Linked DNA regions of Alligator mississippiensis. The protein of the gene in region 1 interacts with the protein of each later gene in a biochemical or structural test. Links are inferred from orthologs where the notes say so. Each region holds a gene or a part of one and is shown on either strand. Other genes may lie near its edges.

Evidence for each region. The genes of interacting proteins can lie anywhere in the genome.
Region 2: the proteins of FRMPD4 (region 1) and DLG3 interact in a test that uses a peptide from one of them, tested with the Homo sapiens proteins (2 studies listed by IntAct, with this or other methods). The link is inferred for Alligator mississippiensis from reciprocal best matches to the Homo sapiens genes FRMPD4 and DLG3.

Annotation. Positions count from the first base shown.
Region 1 is NC_081824.1:326,036,220-326,043,722, forward strand, and holds the start of FRMPD4 (FERM and PDZ domain-containing protein 4), read right to left. Parts: upstream 3,009-7,503; 5' UTR 2,700-3,008; coding exon 2,659-2,699; intron 1-2,658. UniProt on the Homo sapiens protein: Positive regulator of dendritic spine morphogenesis and density. Required for the maintenance of excitatory synaptic transmission. Binds phosphatidylinositol 4,5-bisphosphate.
Region 2 is NC_081831.1:82,909,429-82,917,099, forward strand, and holds the start of DLG3 (disks large homolog 3), read left to right. Parts: upstream 1-4,659; 5' UTR 4,660-4,822; coding exon 4,823-5,012; intron 5,013-5,386; coding exon 5,387-5,518; intron 5,519-7,671. UniProt on the Homo sapiens protein: Required for learning most likely through its role in synaptic plasticity following NMDA receptor signaling.

The DNA of each region.
Region 1 (7,503 bases):
ATATGACGAGTAGCTGCATCTGTGCAGAGCAGACCATTTCTTTAAGAACGCTGTTAGCCAACTAAACATAGGAGATGGCAAAAAAAAATGTTGTCAGAAAGCAACCTGACTTCTAAACTCTTAACATTAATGTAATGACCCTTAGCGTAGTCCCCTTAACCTCCCTAAATTCTCTGCCCTACACTCGGTTCTAGCTCAAGTGTAACAATTCCTAAACACAAGGGATTTTTCAACTACAGTTCCTAAACAAACATGGGAAGCAAATAATTTGATACATCTTAAAACAAAGATCATGCCACATGACCTGCTCTTCAAAGGCTTATCTACATCAGGGCATTACCCACCCTATTTCCCTGCCACTGCAGCTCCCCCAGAGGTAGCAATACTGGGAATGAGAGCAGAGAAGACTTAGTTCTTCATGGTTTAGGCATCATGACACCAAAATTTGTTCTGAACAGAATTAAGCAAACATGTGCTCAGGCCCATAGGGGCTGTTCTACAGCAGCATTGTCACCAGACAAGCTGAAATCCCGACAGCAATGGGAGGAAGAGACTAAAGCAGATGCTGTTTCGGCCAGCCCACCTGTAGAATTTTTTTCAGCTGCCACCCCAGTAACATTTGTTTTGGGAGGAAAAAAGTGTCCTTCTGAAAAGCAATGTATCAAAATCCGAGATGGACAGTAGTTCTGTAGCAAGCCTCTCCCCTTCCCCCCTACCACATGTCATGCCTTTCCAGTAAGAAAGGCTCAAAAGCCAGCCATCTCTCTGCTGTACCACTAAAACAGGGAAATGCAAAATGCCCCTAGCTACTGTAATGAAAGCTAAATCCTTTAGGAAGATTATCAACATGAAAAAAAAAGCAGAAAAATCCAGCAGCTAAAGAACTTTTCTACTGCCTCACTAAGAAGCTGATTTCCTGTGTTACTGGAAGATAAAAAAATGGTATTGCTTCTTATTTTTAAACCTCTTCACTGAGGAAATTCAGCTGGTTTGGGGCCTTGTTACACCTTACACTGTGCGCTGCACAAATGCTGATCAGTGATAGTGCTAGCTTGGAGTTTGGAGCAGCCACATCCTTAGTCTAGAAACCTTTGACTACCCCTGACCTGGACAGCTGTAACTTGTCCCTAGGGGCCTGGTGAGCAGGGGCAGGACTGGGAGCTGTCGCTGTGAGTTGCCACTGGAGAGCTGGTGACCCATGGCAGGCTTCTCTCCCTGCTCTACTAGGTGGGATGTGAGAGAACCTGGGATACTGGAGGGCTCCAACTTGGGCAGCACATCTTGGGGAAGTGGCCACACCTTAGTGGAAAAGGAGCGCGGTGGTGCAGATCAGACACAATCATAGAAGCACAGAAAACAAGGGTTGGAAGGTCACCTAATCCAACCCCCTGCTCACAGCAGAACCATCCCCAACTAGATCATCCCAGCCACGGCTTTGTCTAGCCAGGTCCTAAAAACTCCAAGGATGGAGATTCCTGCCCTGGAGTGGCATAACTTTTTGCCACATAAAGAGTGCTTAAACCACTTCAAGGTGTTAATGTGCAGACAATCAGGGGCCAATCTGCCCACAGTTACCCAGTAACAAAGCCCCAGGAGGGTAGCCTGCAATGGGGCCTCTGCACCCTCTGCCAGCATTTTTCACCCACACCTAAAGCCCAGCCTTCAGGTGCCAGGAGGAGAGAGAGCAGTTTCTCTGGACAGCTGAAAGAGCCCAGCCCTGTGTGCCAACCTGAGACTTCCTTCACTCATGAAACCCCAGCACCTGAGGTCTGGAAGGGACCTCAGGAGCCCACCTAGCCTGCTCTTCACGCTCGCTGGCTTTTAAGCTGATATCCCAGCTCCCCTGGACCCCCAACACACAGGGTGCCACCTGCACTAGTGGGGATCAGAGGGGATGGCCCTGCCTGGCACTGGGGCTGAGGGCTGGAAGGGACCTCAGGAGCCCATCTAGCCCTCTCCATGCTCCCTGACACTCAGGCAGCTGGTTCCCCAGAGTGGAAAGAAAAGGGGCTGGCCCTGCCCTGCACTAGGTCTGATATCTAGAAGGAACCTCAGGAGCCCAGCTAGCCTGCTCTCAATGCTCACTGACTCACAGAAGCGGCTGGTTTCCCAGCCCCCCCCAGCATTGCCACCTGCACTAGTGGGGAGCCAAGGGGCTGGCCCTGCCCTCCACTGGGGCTGAGGGACCTCAGGAGCCCACGTAGCCCACTCTCCACACTCCCTGACACTCAGAGGCGGCTGGTCCCCAGCACCGCCACCTGCACTAGTGGGGAGTAAAGGAGCTGGCCTTGGCCGGCATTGGGGTTGCTGGCTGGAAGGGACCTCCGACGCTCACCTGGCCCGCTCTCCACGCTCGCTAGCACCAGAGGCGGCTGGTCCCCAGCACCGCCACCTGCTCTAGCGGGGAGCCAAGGGGCCGGCCCTGCCCTGCCCTGCCCTGCCCTGCCCTGCCCTGCCCCGCACGGGGTGAGGGCTGGAAGGCACCTCGGGAGCCCGCCTGGCCGCTCTCCACGCGCGCTGGCAGGCAGAGGCTGCTGGTTCCCCGCTCCCCGCACCCCCGCCCCGCCAGAGGAGCCACCGGCGCCAAGCCCGAGCCGGGGGCCGCCTCCCTCCCCAGGGGCTGCCCCCTCCAGCCCCCCGCCGCCGCCGGGCGCCTACCCGGGGAGCTTGGCGAGCCGCACAAAGCCGAACACGTCCATCCATGCAGCCGGCGAGCGGCCCCGCTTCCTCCTCACTCCCGCCGCCGCGGCTGCTCCACGGCGGGGCGGGGGGAGGTGGCGCCCGCGGCGGCTGCTCCTCCTCCGGCAGCGGCGCGCGGGGCGCCCGGCATCGCCGCTCCTGGCCGGCCCGGCCCGGCCCGGCCCGAGCGGCGGCAGGTCCGCGGCTCCCGCCTCTGGCGCGGAGCGAGCCCGGGCAGCACCCGCCGCGGAGCCGGCCCGCCTGGCAGCGCCGCCGCAGCCCCCTCTGCCGGGGAAGGGCCCTCTGCTGCGGGAGCGCCTCGGGGCTGGCACCCGCCGCCCGCTGCCTGGCCTTTGCTGCCCGCCCGGGCCCCAGCGCCGCGGCCAGCCTCTTCTCCAGGCTGCCGCCGCCGCCGCGCGCCGGCCCGGGGAGCGCAACAGGCGGCGCCGGGGACCGGGGCAGCGCACAGCCCGGGGGTGGGGGGCGTCTATATACGTATCGGTGTATCTGTGTTGTGTGTGGGCATGTGGACGGGGAGAGATGGATGTGTGCACGGGTTACATCGGGATGGATGTGTGTACAGATGGCTGTGGGGATGTGCCTATATGAATAGGTGTGGAGGTGCGTACGTGTGTGGGGGTGTGTGCACGCGCAGATGGGTGTGGATGTGTGGGTGTGTATGTGTACATATGTGTGGGCGAGCGTATGTGGATGTGTGTGTGGATGTATATATGTGTATGTGTACATATGTGCAACGATGAGTGTATACGCATATGTGTGCAGATGGGTTGTGGATGTGTATTTATATATGTGTGTGTGTGAGGATGTGTATGCATATGTGTATATCATATGTATTTATTAAATGTATAAATGTATACATGTCACCGTGGGCAATTCCTCACAGTTGAGGATCATCATTCCCACAGGTGAAGTGAAGGGTTGTGAATGAGCCAGCTGAGGGCTAAGGGCGACCCTAGAGCTGCACACTGTGTGTATATGTGTATATGTGTGAGAGAGTGAGTAGACAAGCACCAGGAGACTCTCCCTATGCCTAAAGAAGGGTGTTTGTGCCCAAAAGCCTGTAAAGAACAAATTTTCTAACTCTTCAGTGGGTCTAATAAAAGATATCACATTTACCCAAATAACCTTGTTTGTATATGTACATGGACATATATGTGTATGCATATATGTATATATTTGTATGTATGCATATATATGTATATACACATACACACATACATACCTACATATATCAGGGGTATAGGTTGTAGTCATGCCAGCCTAAGGACATGGGCAGACAAGGTTCTTGTCTTTCATAGATTTTTGATGCACGTTCATTCTGGTACACAGTTGTTTCATTTCTCCTGCATATTTTCCATCAGGGCATTTGGTGCACTGGATGAGTGGATCCAGTGCACCAAATGCCGTGATGGAAAATATGTCGGAGAAACCAAACAACAAGTGCGTACCAGAATGAACACACACCAAGAACCTATCGAAGACAAGAACACCCAGTTACCTGTGGGGGCACGTTTCTCACAAGAAAATCACTCTCTCCAGTCTCTCAGGGAATTTACAATCCTCAAAGGGAATTTACAAGACACCTTTTGCAGACGAGCCTACAAACTTCACTTCATCAGTTTACTGGATACAAAAAATTATGGACTAAATATAGACATTGGATTTATAACCTGCCTAACATTTGACACCCCAAGTAACTGCTCTACTATTTACCAGCTATATTCTTATCACACCAGGTCTACATTCCCCTTCTCCTAGTCTCCTACCTGTCTCTCACCAACTGACTTCAATCTACATTTTCACTGACTGGCTTTCTTGCATGAATACTGGCCTCTGATTTCTTTTCTATTCCATCCAGGATGAGCACAGACCGACTGTAGACGCTTCCTCAGCCTGACTGTTTCTACTCAAAGCTTGCAAATAATTTTTCCAACTATTTTATATGGTCTAATAAAAGATTTACCCAAAGAATGTTGTCTACACACACACACACACACACACACACACACAGAAACATAGATTATGTGTGTGTGTGCACCTACATTTGTGCACATATGTATAGTTGGGGATTAAAAATTGGGGATTAAAATATATATATAAAATAGGTATAAAGTTGGGGATTAAAATGATGTGTGTGTGTGTTTTAATCCCAAACCTTCACTGGTAACAGCACAGAAAAAGGAACAGGATGTACAGAGACTCCCTAGGAACCTGCTTCAAACTATTCTTTTCTTTAAACCAGTAACAACAAAGACTGATTGATAGTCTGTTTACAGAGGGAGAAGACTGAACAACTCACTTCAGAAGGTTTACAGATCTACCTGGTTGCATGTGGGAGCTGTGCAATCTAAAATCCCCAATGAAGTAGTGTTTGCTGAGCCTATCAAAATATTTATTTGTTTCCCACCAGCCACATCCATTAACTTATTATTCTGCTAAACTTTAAAAAACAATAGTGGAATGGGCAGCTGTTGTTCCCACCACTGTATGGATTGGCAAATGTTACAAAGGTAATGCAATTTTAGCTGGTTAGGAATGGGTTCATTTATAAAGCTATTGTTTATTTACATAGCTTCCAGTGCACTGGCAAAAAAGAGATCAGGTACTATGAACAAATATCCTGCAGGGTTTACTGAAACTCCACGTGTTTGTGTGTGCATTTGTGTGTATCCAGGATCAGGGCCAAAATATCAAACCAGGCTCAACTATTTCACAATCTAAGGCCCAACACAAAAAGGTATTATAGGGAAACGAGAAAACAAATCTAGTAAAACCACAAACCATGCAGAAAGAGGAAGAATCAGACTGAAAGAGACCTATCATGTTTTCAGGAGTCCCATGCTCCTTTAGTGAAGAACCAGGATATAGGTATGGTATATCAGGGGAGATGGTAGATTAACCTACTAGTCAGGATGTCATATCAGCTGACAAGAACCTTGCTATGCAGCAACACATTGTTATATTTGTTTATTTTCATCAAAGTTGCAAAAAACTTTCTTGAATTTATATCCCAAGATATAGGGGTGTGTGTGTGTGTGTGTGTGTGTGTGTGTGTGTGTGTGTGTGTGTGTTGGGGAAGGGGGGGGTTCTAAAAAAGGGCTACACCTCTAACCAGATGAATAACCTCTCTTACATGGGTAGTAGGAGTAAGTACAATATTGGGAAGCCTGGTCAACATGGAGGATGATTAGAACAGTATTTGCAACTGAATGGTCTTGATGAGTAGAGTAAAAGAAATGGGAAAAAAATCAGTAATACAGAGTGTAAGAACACGCACTTAGGAACTAAGAATTTCTGCTGTTACCTGAGAGCTCATCAGTAAGAAACAGGATGAGAAATTCTGGGGTACATTAGTTTCACAGAACAACTATGAGCTATCGTAGTGTGATGCAGCCACAGGGTTGGGGGGGGGGGAGGGGAAGGGAAAGCAAATCCTAGGACATATCAAATAAAATATACTGAGGAGAGACAGAGGAAATGAGGAAATACTAATGCCAGTGTACAAGACGTTGGTAAGATGTCATCTGCCATGCTGTGTACAACTGATCACTCTTATACAAGAAAGGTAAATTGGAATTGGAACATGAACAGAGAAGTGATACTGAATGAGCAGAAGAATAGAGAACCTTACATAATGAGACCACAAGAAGTTGTATTATTATTTAAGATAACAAAATGAAGATTTAGAGGGGATTGGATTGATCTCTTAAATGCACGGGGAGAGTAAAGACCAGCGAGTGAGAAGAGCTATTTAAAGAAAAAATATTGGTACAAAGATCAAATGGGTTTGAACTGGCCCTGAATCAGATTGGCCTGGAACCTGAAGAAGATTTCTAGCTATCCAACCAGTACAGCCTTCTGCTGGGAGAACTTGGTGGGCTGGGGCTGGGGGGAGACCTAACTAATTTTAACATGGAGCTTGAACAGTTTATGAGAGGTATTACAGATGATGTGGTTCCTTGTGATAGCATGGGATTGGATTCAATGACCCCAGATTTCACTTTCAGTCCTGTTTTCCTAAGTGTTGAACAGGACTGATTTTGTAGATCTGAGATTTTTGCAAAAGATTTCTTAGCTTTCTGGCTGTTACTATACACTGTGACAGTCAGGGCATGTTCACCCTAGCTCCCCCATTCACCCCTTTTCTAACTCCTCAACACAAGTAGCAAGTGCCACATCCTACCCTCACACATTCATCTGGTTTCTTCCTATACCTACATGCTGGGGTTCATCCCACCTGTAACACGGCTTACTCCTCCTGGTGGGGTGGAAGAACAGGGTGGGAGAACAGATCAGCAGGAACAAGGTGTGGCTGAGTCACACCATATATGTTATGGCAGATATGGTTAGGACAGAAACCAAAAGAAACAGAGACAGTCATACAGAAAGTCTATAATTAATGTATTTTTGTAATAACATTATATATATGGCACACTGACCAAAACATTTACATTACGTTTTATTGCTGGCTCATGTGCCAAGCAGGGTCACCTAAGTCACAAGTCACATGCTACTTAGATCTCATTTTATCCAATTGAATTTTCTTCTTTTTTTAATTAATTAAAAATCTTAGACATGTTATGACATAGCAATATGACAGAAATCCTGAGACTTGAGGGGCATAATTATAGTGCCTGGTTTTGTTGGACATCAAATACAAAATCTCAGGGAAGTTACATCAAATCCCAAAACCCCTCTTAAAATTCATGCTTCCTATCATGTTTTGAGCCAAATACCCAGGTTTGGTTATTCCCTTCTGTCCACAGAGAATTTCATACAGGGCTTTCATTTGTGGAGCTGGTC
Region 2 (7,671 bases), on another chromosome or scaffold:
AGGGGCAATGCTCCTCTCCCTTGCCGGTTGAGAGCGCTCCTGCCCTTCCTGCGCTAGGAGCGGATGAGCTTGATGTTTTTGCTTTGTGCTGCCTGGGGCCGGTGGAGGTCTGGGAGGGCCTGGCGGGGCAGCAGCAGGGGACTGGTGAAGCAGGACAGGGACCGAATCCGGTGCTGAGCAGAGGGCTCCTGTCTCGCTTGCTGTCTTGTCCCCGGTAGAGGCCAAGACCACAACTGTCGTCAGCCCAGCGCCAGCAGCTAGATCCTCCCCGGTGCCCTGGGCTGGCAGGGACCGTCTCTCCTGTGTAGGCAGGACGGCGGGCCCGGGGGCAGTGACCCCGTCCTGCTGCTGGGGCAAGGGGCTGTGCGGGGGAACGACGAGGAAGCAGTGTTACTTGCCCATGATTGCTTTGCTGCAGGGCCTTTGAGCCGGGAGTCTATTTTACTTGTTCTTAACTATTTATGTTAATAAATAGACCTGAGCTGGACCAAGAAACCTTGCTGCTGCATGTGTCTGAGGGCTTCTGTTCTGGCAAGGGGAAGCTGGGCTCAGGCGCTGGCTTTTGTCTGCTTGCTGGGGAAGGACAGGCACTACGCAGAGGACAGGGGAGGAAAAGTAGAGTAACTGCAGTGGGAGATCCCTGCCTTGGCACAGAGTTACTGGGCCTCCGGTCCGGCCTCCTGCTCATTCTCCTGCCTGTCAGCTGGCTCACATAGCCTCCCTGCCTTGCAGCGTGCTTGGAGAGGGTCTGAAAGCCTGTCTTGAGGGGGAAGAGGTTACTGACTCAGTGTGAAAGGGCTCTGGGGCAGCCTAGCCCAGCAGGGTTTGTACAGCGGGGCTGGCACGCACGTGCTTGCACTCATGGCTGGGCTCTAGCTGCATCCACACCTGGGCATGCGGGCAGAGACCTGGATGGGGGCTGCCGGCTCTCTGCACTATGGGTCTGTGCTGGGCCGGAGCTTGTTTCCTACCCTTGGAAACCACTTTCAAAAGAGACCTGGATTGTGTGAGCAAGGACTGGATGAAGTCCAAGTCGCCGGCCGGTGCTGTGCAACGTGCTCTGTCACTGCCACCTCGTGGCGCGGAGAAGGAAGGATGACTAACGTTAAAATGTCCTGGCTCGCTGGTGCCGAGGGTGAGAAAACTGGAGCCAGGCTACTCATGGAGATGACTCAGGGTTAAACATCTTCCCTTGTTTCAAGCCCTCAGTTTTACAGGATTGGGACCTCAAGGAGCCCTTGCCTCTGGGGCAAGGAGGAGGTACTTCTAGGAAAACCTCTCCCTTTCCTAACAAAAGAAGGGAAAGTGAAACTCTCCTGGCAGTAATGTTCCCATAACCTTTGCTGAACAGCTGCAGTAGCCAAGGTCTAAAAGCTCCAGTGTGGGCGAACAGGAGCCCTCCCAAGCACGTAGAGGTGAACGTGGCAGTGGGGCGAAGGTGCACGTATTGCACGTGCCGTGAGCTTGTGAACTGGCTTGTCCCTGGAGCAGATTCCTGGTGCCCCGAGCTCTTCCTGCTTTTGCTTGCAAGCTGTCCGTGGCCTGAGGTGCAGCTAGGGCTGTGGCCTGGCCCCGGCAGCGGGCACGATCGTCTCTCGTGTGGTCCCTCCTGTGACACACGTGGGAGAGGAAGAGCACCAGCCCTTCTTCGTGTCCTGCACCTCTTCAGCTCCTGCTACACCTTGCATATATGTGATTTAATGGGCAGTTGCACAATAAATTTAGACCTACCATAAGTGCAAAGTACTTATCTCACAATGATCTGGTTAATCTCACAATAAATTTAGGCTGGCTGCATGTGCAAAGTAACAATCACCCAATAAAACAACTCTCTAGCTGTAAAAAGAACCAACCTGCTATAAGATTAGTGCTTGAACATGTCACAACTCCAGAGCTGGTTTCCATCCAGCTTTTATTTGAACAGGTAGCAGGGTCCTTGTACCTCTAAGTAGTCTCCTTCAGCCTAGGGTTTGGCAGCTGTTTTGCTCTTGGATCTGCTTCCAGGGATGGATCTACACTGCCTTCTCTCGGGGTGACTTGACTTTGCTGCACCCGAGCCTTTCTTCCCCCGTCTCGGCCCTTGCAGACTGGCAGGGGTGCTCTGCCCTGGATGGAAACGAGAGCAAACTGGGGATGGAGCAAGAGGCCTCTTCCTAGGCACTTGGAGCCTTTGCGGTCGGAGACCCTGACCCTTGCAGCGTGGCTGAAACCCTCATCTCCCACTCAGCATCGCCTAGAGCCCAACACGCATCGCTCCCTGGGTACAAAGAAACGGGCGGCTGTACTGCGCTGCGAGGAGCTGAGGGCTGTGCTGTTCAGTTTTACACTAAAGCAAAAATGAATGCAGCTTGCTCAGGATGTGCACTCACCCCTAGCTGATCTATTAAGTTTTAAAAAAACACAACAAACTGGGTAAAAGTAGTGAAAATAAATGGTTTCATTAGCCGGATAGTCCTTCAAGTCAAAGCGGAGGATCCTAGGTGAGAGGGAGGGGACCTCAGGAGGCCCACCCGAGCCCTTCCCCCCCACAAAGCAGGACCAGCCCCAACTACATCACCCCAGCCACGGCTTCGTGTAGTCCAGTCTCAAAAACCTGCAAGGACGGAGACTGCACCACCTCTCTGGGGAGCCTGCTCCAGTGCTTCACCACCCTCCTCGTGAGAAAGTTTTCCCTAATATCCAACCTCAACTCCCCTTGCTGCAGCCTGAGCCCATTGCTCCTTGTCCTGCTATCTGCTCCCACTGAGACCAGCCCAGCTCCGTCCTCTTAGCAGCCCCCCTGCAGGGAGGTGACGGCTGCTATTCAATCCCCTCGGTCTTCTCTTCTGCAGACTCAACCCCGCAGCCACTCGCGCTGCCAGGTCCCCGGGGTGTCCACGCCGCTCTGCACAGCTGGCCAGCGGGCTCCCCGCCCGCCTGGCTCTTGCAGGAGGCTGCGAGCCCGGGCCCTTGCGGCTGCCCGAGCCGGAGGCCGGGTGCGGCCGGCGGGGCTGGGCTGGGCTGGGCGAGCGGAGAAGGGAAGGGGAGGGGAGGGGAGGGGAGGGAGGGCAGGGGAGGCGGCGGCGGCGGCGGCGGCGCGGGGCTGGGAGCGCTGCCCGCCCGGCCGCCGGCCGGAGGAGCGATGATTAGCAGGAGAGGTAAGGAAGGGAGTTAGGAAGGGAGGGAGGGAAGGAAGGGAGGGAAGCGCTGCGCAACAAGTGTGCCGGGCCGGGCTGCGGACGGCGCTGCGGGGCAAGCCCCGGCCCGGCCCGGCCCGGAGCGGGGTGTGCCCGCGGCTTGCACCCGGGGCATCGTGCCACCCCGTCCCCGCCGGCCCCCGCGCCCCGTGCCCGGCCCGGCCCCTCCCGGCAAAGTCCGGGCCAGACTCTCAAAGTGGGGCGTGGAGGAGGTGCTCCTGTCCGGGGTGCCCCGACCAGCCGGCCGGCCAGGCGTCTCCGTCTGCGCAGGGTTGGTGCCCAGCACCCTGCCTCTCGGCGCCGACGCCGCCTCGGTGCGCAGAGGCCAGGGGTGCAGGCTGAGCCCCCCGTGCTGGCGCCAGCCCAGGGCGGGTGGACAGGGGCATGCCGTGAGCTCTCCCACGAGCGTGGGCCCCTGGGCTCCCGTCCCTGGCTTCCCTGCTCCAGAGCAGGGGTGAAATGGGAGAGCTGCCCACCCTCCTGCCTCCGGCCCGGGGCACCGCTCGCCCGCCTCGCCCCGCAGCTGGTCCTTCCAGGCCAGACGAGCCTCCTGGGGCCGAGGCGGAGGCGCCCCTCGCTCATCTCCAGGGGGTCTGATGCGGGAGGTGTGCACTCCCAGGCAGGTGCAGGGCTCGGGCGTGTGGGGCGGCAGCACCCTGCGTGCGTGCCCCGAAGTTGCAGTTCTCAGCCTGGTTGTTGGTGAGCAGGGGTCTCCCCTCTCGCTGGGCTGAGCTGGCGGGCCGAGAAGTGGACCGGCTGCAGACGGAAGTCCCTTCGGGGCTGGGGGGCAGCACAGCAGCTTGCCCGGCCCCAGCCCGGGCCACGTCTGCTCCGTGAGCAGAGGGGGTTAGCATCCACCGCTGGCCCTCAGCTGGGATTTGCAGAAGCTCATGAATCCCTCCGGCATGCCAGGGAGCCCCAGGCTGTGCCTGGGTCAGGGCAAGCCCTGGCTGTGCAGGCTCAGAGGCAGGCTCCAAGTGTCTCTGTTTGTGCTAGGGATTATTCATGCCTCGCCAGCTTCCCTTTCCCCCTCTGGGCCGTGCACGATGCCCCGGTGCGGTTGGTAGACCACCTTTTTCGCTGGAGAAGGCGAAGCAGCCGCGAGGGGGGAGCACGGCCTGCAGGCAGCCGGTCGTGTCTGGGCTCTGCTGGGCCCAGCCCCCTGGCCGGGCTGCGGCCAGGCTCCCGGGGCCAGGCCGTCTCTTCTGCATTCGCTCCTAGGTCAGGCGAGGAGCCCCTGCCGCTCCCTGGACACGTCCCCTCCCCCTCTCACACAGGCACTCTTTGTTTTACGGAGGCCTCCTAACAAAGGGAAACGTTCCCTGATAGGGACCCGGGGCTCAAGGTCTGTGAGAACCGCTCCTCCTGTCTGAGATGCCCTTTGCAGCCAGGACAGGCTGCATCAGGGCTAACGGTGCCATGCCGGGGACGAGCCCAGAGAAGGGTCAAGCTCCCCAGGCTGGACGAGTCTCCGTTCAGTGCTGGGACCCCCACCCTGGCCTCCCCCACAACCACCGCTTTGCTGCACCCCTTCCTCCCAGTGCAGTCCTGCTCTTCCAGCCCGGGCCTCTCCTTCCACGTCCCTGCCCTGGCCTCTCCCAGCTGCCCCAGAAAGCAGCTCTTGCCCCAGGCTGCGCTCCTGGCTAATGAAGACCAGCTTGGGATGCAGGTCGTGGGTCCCGTGGGGACACCATTTGTCCGAGGGCGGTTCACACGGATTCCCCCTCCTCTGCTTCCAGGGGCAGCCGCAGCCCGCAGGTCGGAGGTGCTGGTGCAGCTCTGGGGTGGCTCTGTACCGTGGGTGGAGCCTGCAGTATAATGCTGGAGGTTTTGGGGGTAAGTGGGCATGTCCCTTGAGCTCTTGCCGTCAGGTTCAAAAGGAATCTGAAGAAACCGAATCTCGCTTTCTGTAGCCGGTGCCTGGCTGTGACTTCCAGATCTCGCTGCAAGGCAAAATGTGGCTGTGGCTGGGAGCCCAGTGACAGCAGGGACGTGGACGGAGGGGTGGAAGAGCCACTCCAGCTGTGAGCGGGGCAGAGTCTAATTGTCTCGTGTGCGTGGGCTCATAGCAGCGTCGGGTTGACGAGGACCCCGGAGGCATCTCGCTCGCCTCCTGCACGCAGGCCGAAGACGCCTACCTAGACCATCCCTGGCTGCTGTTTTTCTAGCGTTAGAGATTAAACTGTGCTTCTCCTGTCTTGCCTCCCTAGACACCCGGCGGGCCGTGGAAATCCTGACCAGATACCAAAGCACTCTGAAGTCTCCAGATGAGCAGCAGCTGAAGACCTCCATCGGGAAGGTCTCGCACATCTTCCGAAGCGAGCTCTTCCAGGCCCTGTTAGGTAAGCACCGTGCAGCATGTGCACCTTGCAGCCCGCTGCTGGGCAGCCTCTCCTGGCTTTGCCCAGAGCAGCCGTGCACCGGGTCTGGGGGAAGGATGCTGGGGGCGTGGGCTCTGATCTCCTGGTGTGAGGCAGACTCCTCAGTGAAATGTGGGCTAAGTAACCTACAGCAGGGCACATGTCAAGGCTTTTCCAGTATCTGCCCCGGCGGGGCAGGAGTGATCCTGTGATTCCACCTTTGTCTGCAAAGTCCTGGGCTGCCATGGGAGGGCTGCTGAGAGCAGCTCGTTGCCCTAAGAAGGCCCCGGGGGAGAAGTTGGAGCTGGGAGCCTAGTTCAAACCCCCCAACCCATTTGTGAGTACAGTGGTGCACGTACAGGTCAAAGCATGTGAGAGGTCAAAGCTTCGTTCCAGAGGTGGAGTCAACCGTGCAAGTCTGTCCGGCTGAAAGGCAGTGAAGGTCAGTTGCTAAGAGGCCCCATGGACCACGATCCCCAGAATCACAGACAAGGAGGGTGGCAGGGACCTCAGGAGGTCACATCCAGTCCAACCCCCTGCTCCAAGCAGGACCAGCCCCAACTGCATCATCCCAGCCAAGGCTTTGTCTAGCCAGGCATTAAAAACCTCCAAGGGTGGAGACCGCACCATCTCTCTGGGTAACCTGCTCCACTTTGCTACCCTCCTCATGAGGAAGTTTTTCCTAATATCCAACCTCAACTTCCCTTGCTGCAGCTTGAGCCCATAGCTCCTTGTCCTGCCATCTGCCCCCACTGAGACCAGTCCAGCTCCGTACTCTTTGCAGCCCCCCGGCAGGGAGCTGAAGGCAGCTGTCGAATCCCCCTCGGTCTTCTCTTCTGCAGAACTCTCTCCTGTCCAGATTCTGTGTTTGGACGGATGCCTCAGCCCTCCAGTTTTTACCATAGTGTTTTTTAAGGAGGATTTTTATCCTCTTGAGTGCCAAATTCAGTGCATATTAAGACTTCTTGAAGTTCTGTGCAGCACTGTGCAAACCCGATGATGCCTCGTGGTGCCATGTTTCAGCTGGACACTGTGCTGGCCATTCAAAGGGCATCTTAGCACTAGTGTACTGTGCAAAGCCTCATCCCGGACTCTCTGCACAAAGCCTGCTCATTCTGGCTGTTGTGCCTGTCCACTCTTATCATCCCTCAGGAAGTAATTTCTCCTGTTTGTTTCCTGTGGGACATAACATTTCACATACATATGGCTGGGGAAACACCTTTCAGTACAGCTCTGTCTATTGGGCACTTAGACCATGAAGCATCTGCAAGTAATACCAAGTGCTGAGGGGGAAATGCATGCTCAAGAAATAAACTTTGGAGCCAGCCCATCTTGCAAGTGAAAGGACACTTGCGTCGCTGTGTAGCTTTGTGTCATTTCTTGGAATTACCAAGTGCAGGCAGAGTTCTCCATTCATTGCCTGGGAGCTTTCTTCACCGGGTCAGACCAGGATGTGCTGTTTGTCCTGTGGGGCAGGGCTTTCCCCAGCATTGTTTACGTGCTAGAGATTTGCATTCGTTGCTCTTTGCTCCGGCTCCTCCTATTCCCACGAGAGGCGTACAGCACTCCTCGCATCTGGCACAACCTGGGCTTTCCCCTCTTCCAAAACACCCCCGTCACAGTGACGCTCCGGGAGCGTTGCTTTTCACTTTTCACTTGCCACGTCTCTGGTGGGCTGGGGTTTCTCCTGCCTGGCGCTCAGGGAGCAGGGCTGGCAGGGACCTTCGGAGACCACGTCTAACCCAACCCCTGCCTGAGGCAGGGTCAGCCCCACCCCATCTATGCAGTTAAATCTGTGGGGCTGTCGTCATTCATCCGTTAGCTCCCTGCTTGGCTGGGCCCGCTGCCTGCCCACCGCACGCTCGGTCGCAGGCGGCAGAGCTCTCCTTGCCGCAGCACACTGTGGCTGCTTCCTCCAGGTCCCTGCTTGTGCCTCGCAGACACCAAGAGGCATGAGCCGGGTCCAAAACTCATGCACCCGCTAGCGTGCAGGGCCCACTTGGTCCTGCCCTCCTCGGTCGGCCCGAGCCTGCCAGCACATAGCCCTCCGTGCCCCGTGCCCGGGGCCGGCAGGGCCGTGTGTCCTGGGGATGGCGAGGGGGACGGTTGGGGTGCGGGCTGCCTGCCATGGGAGC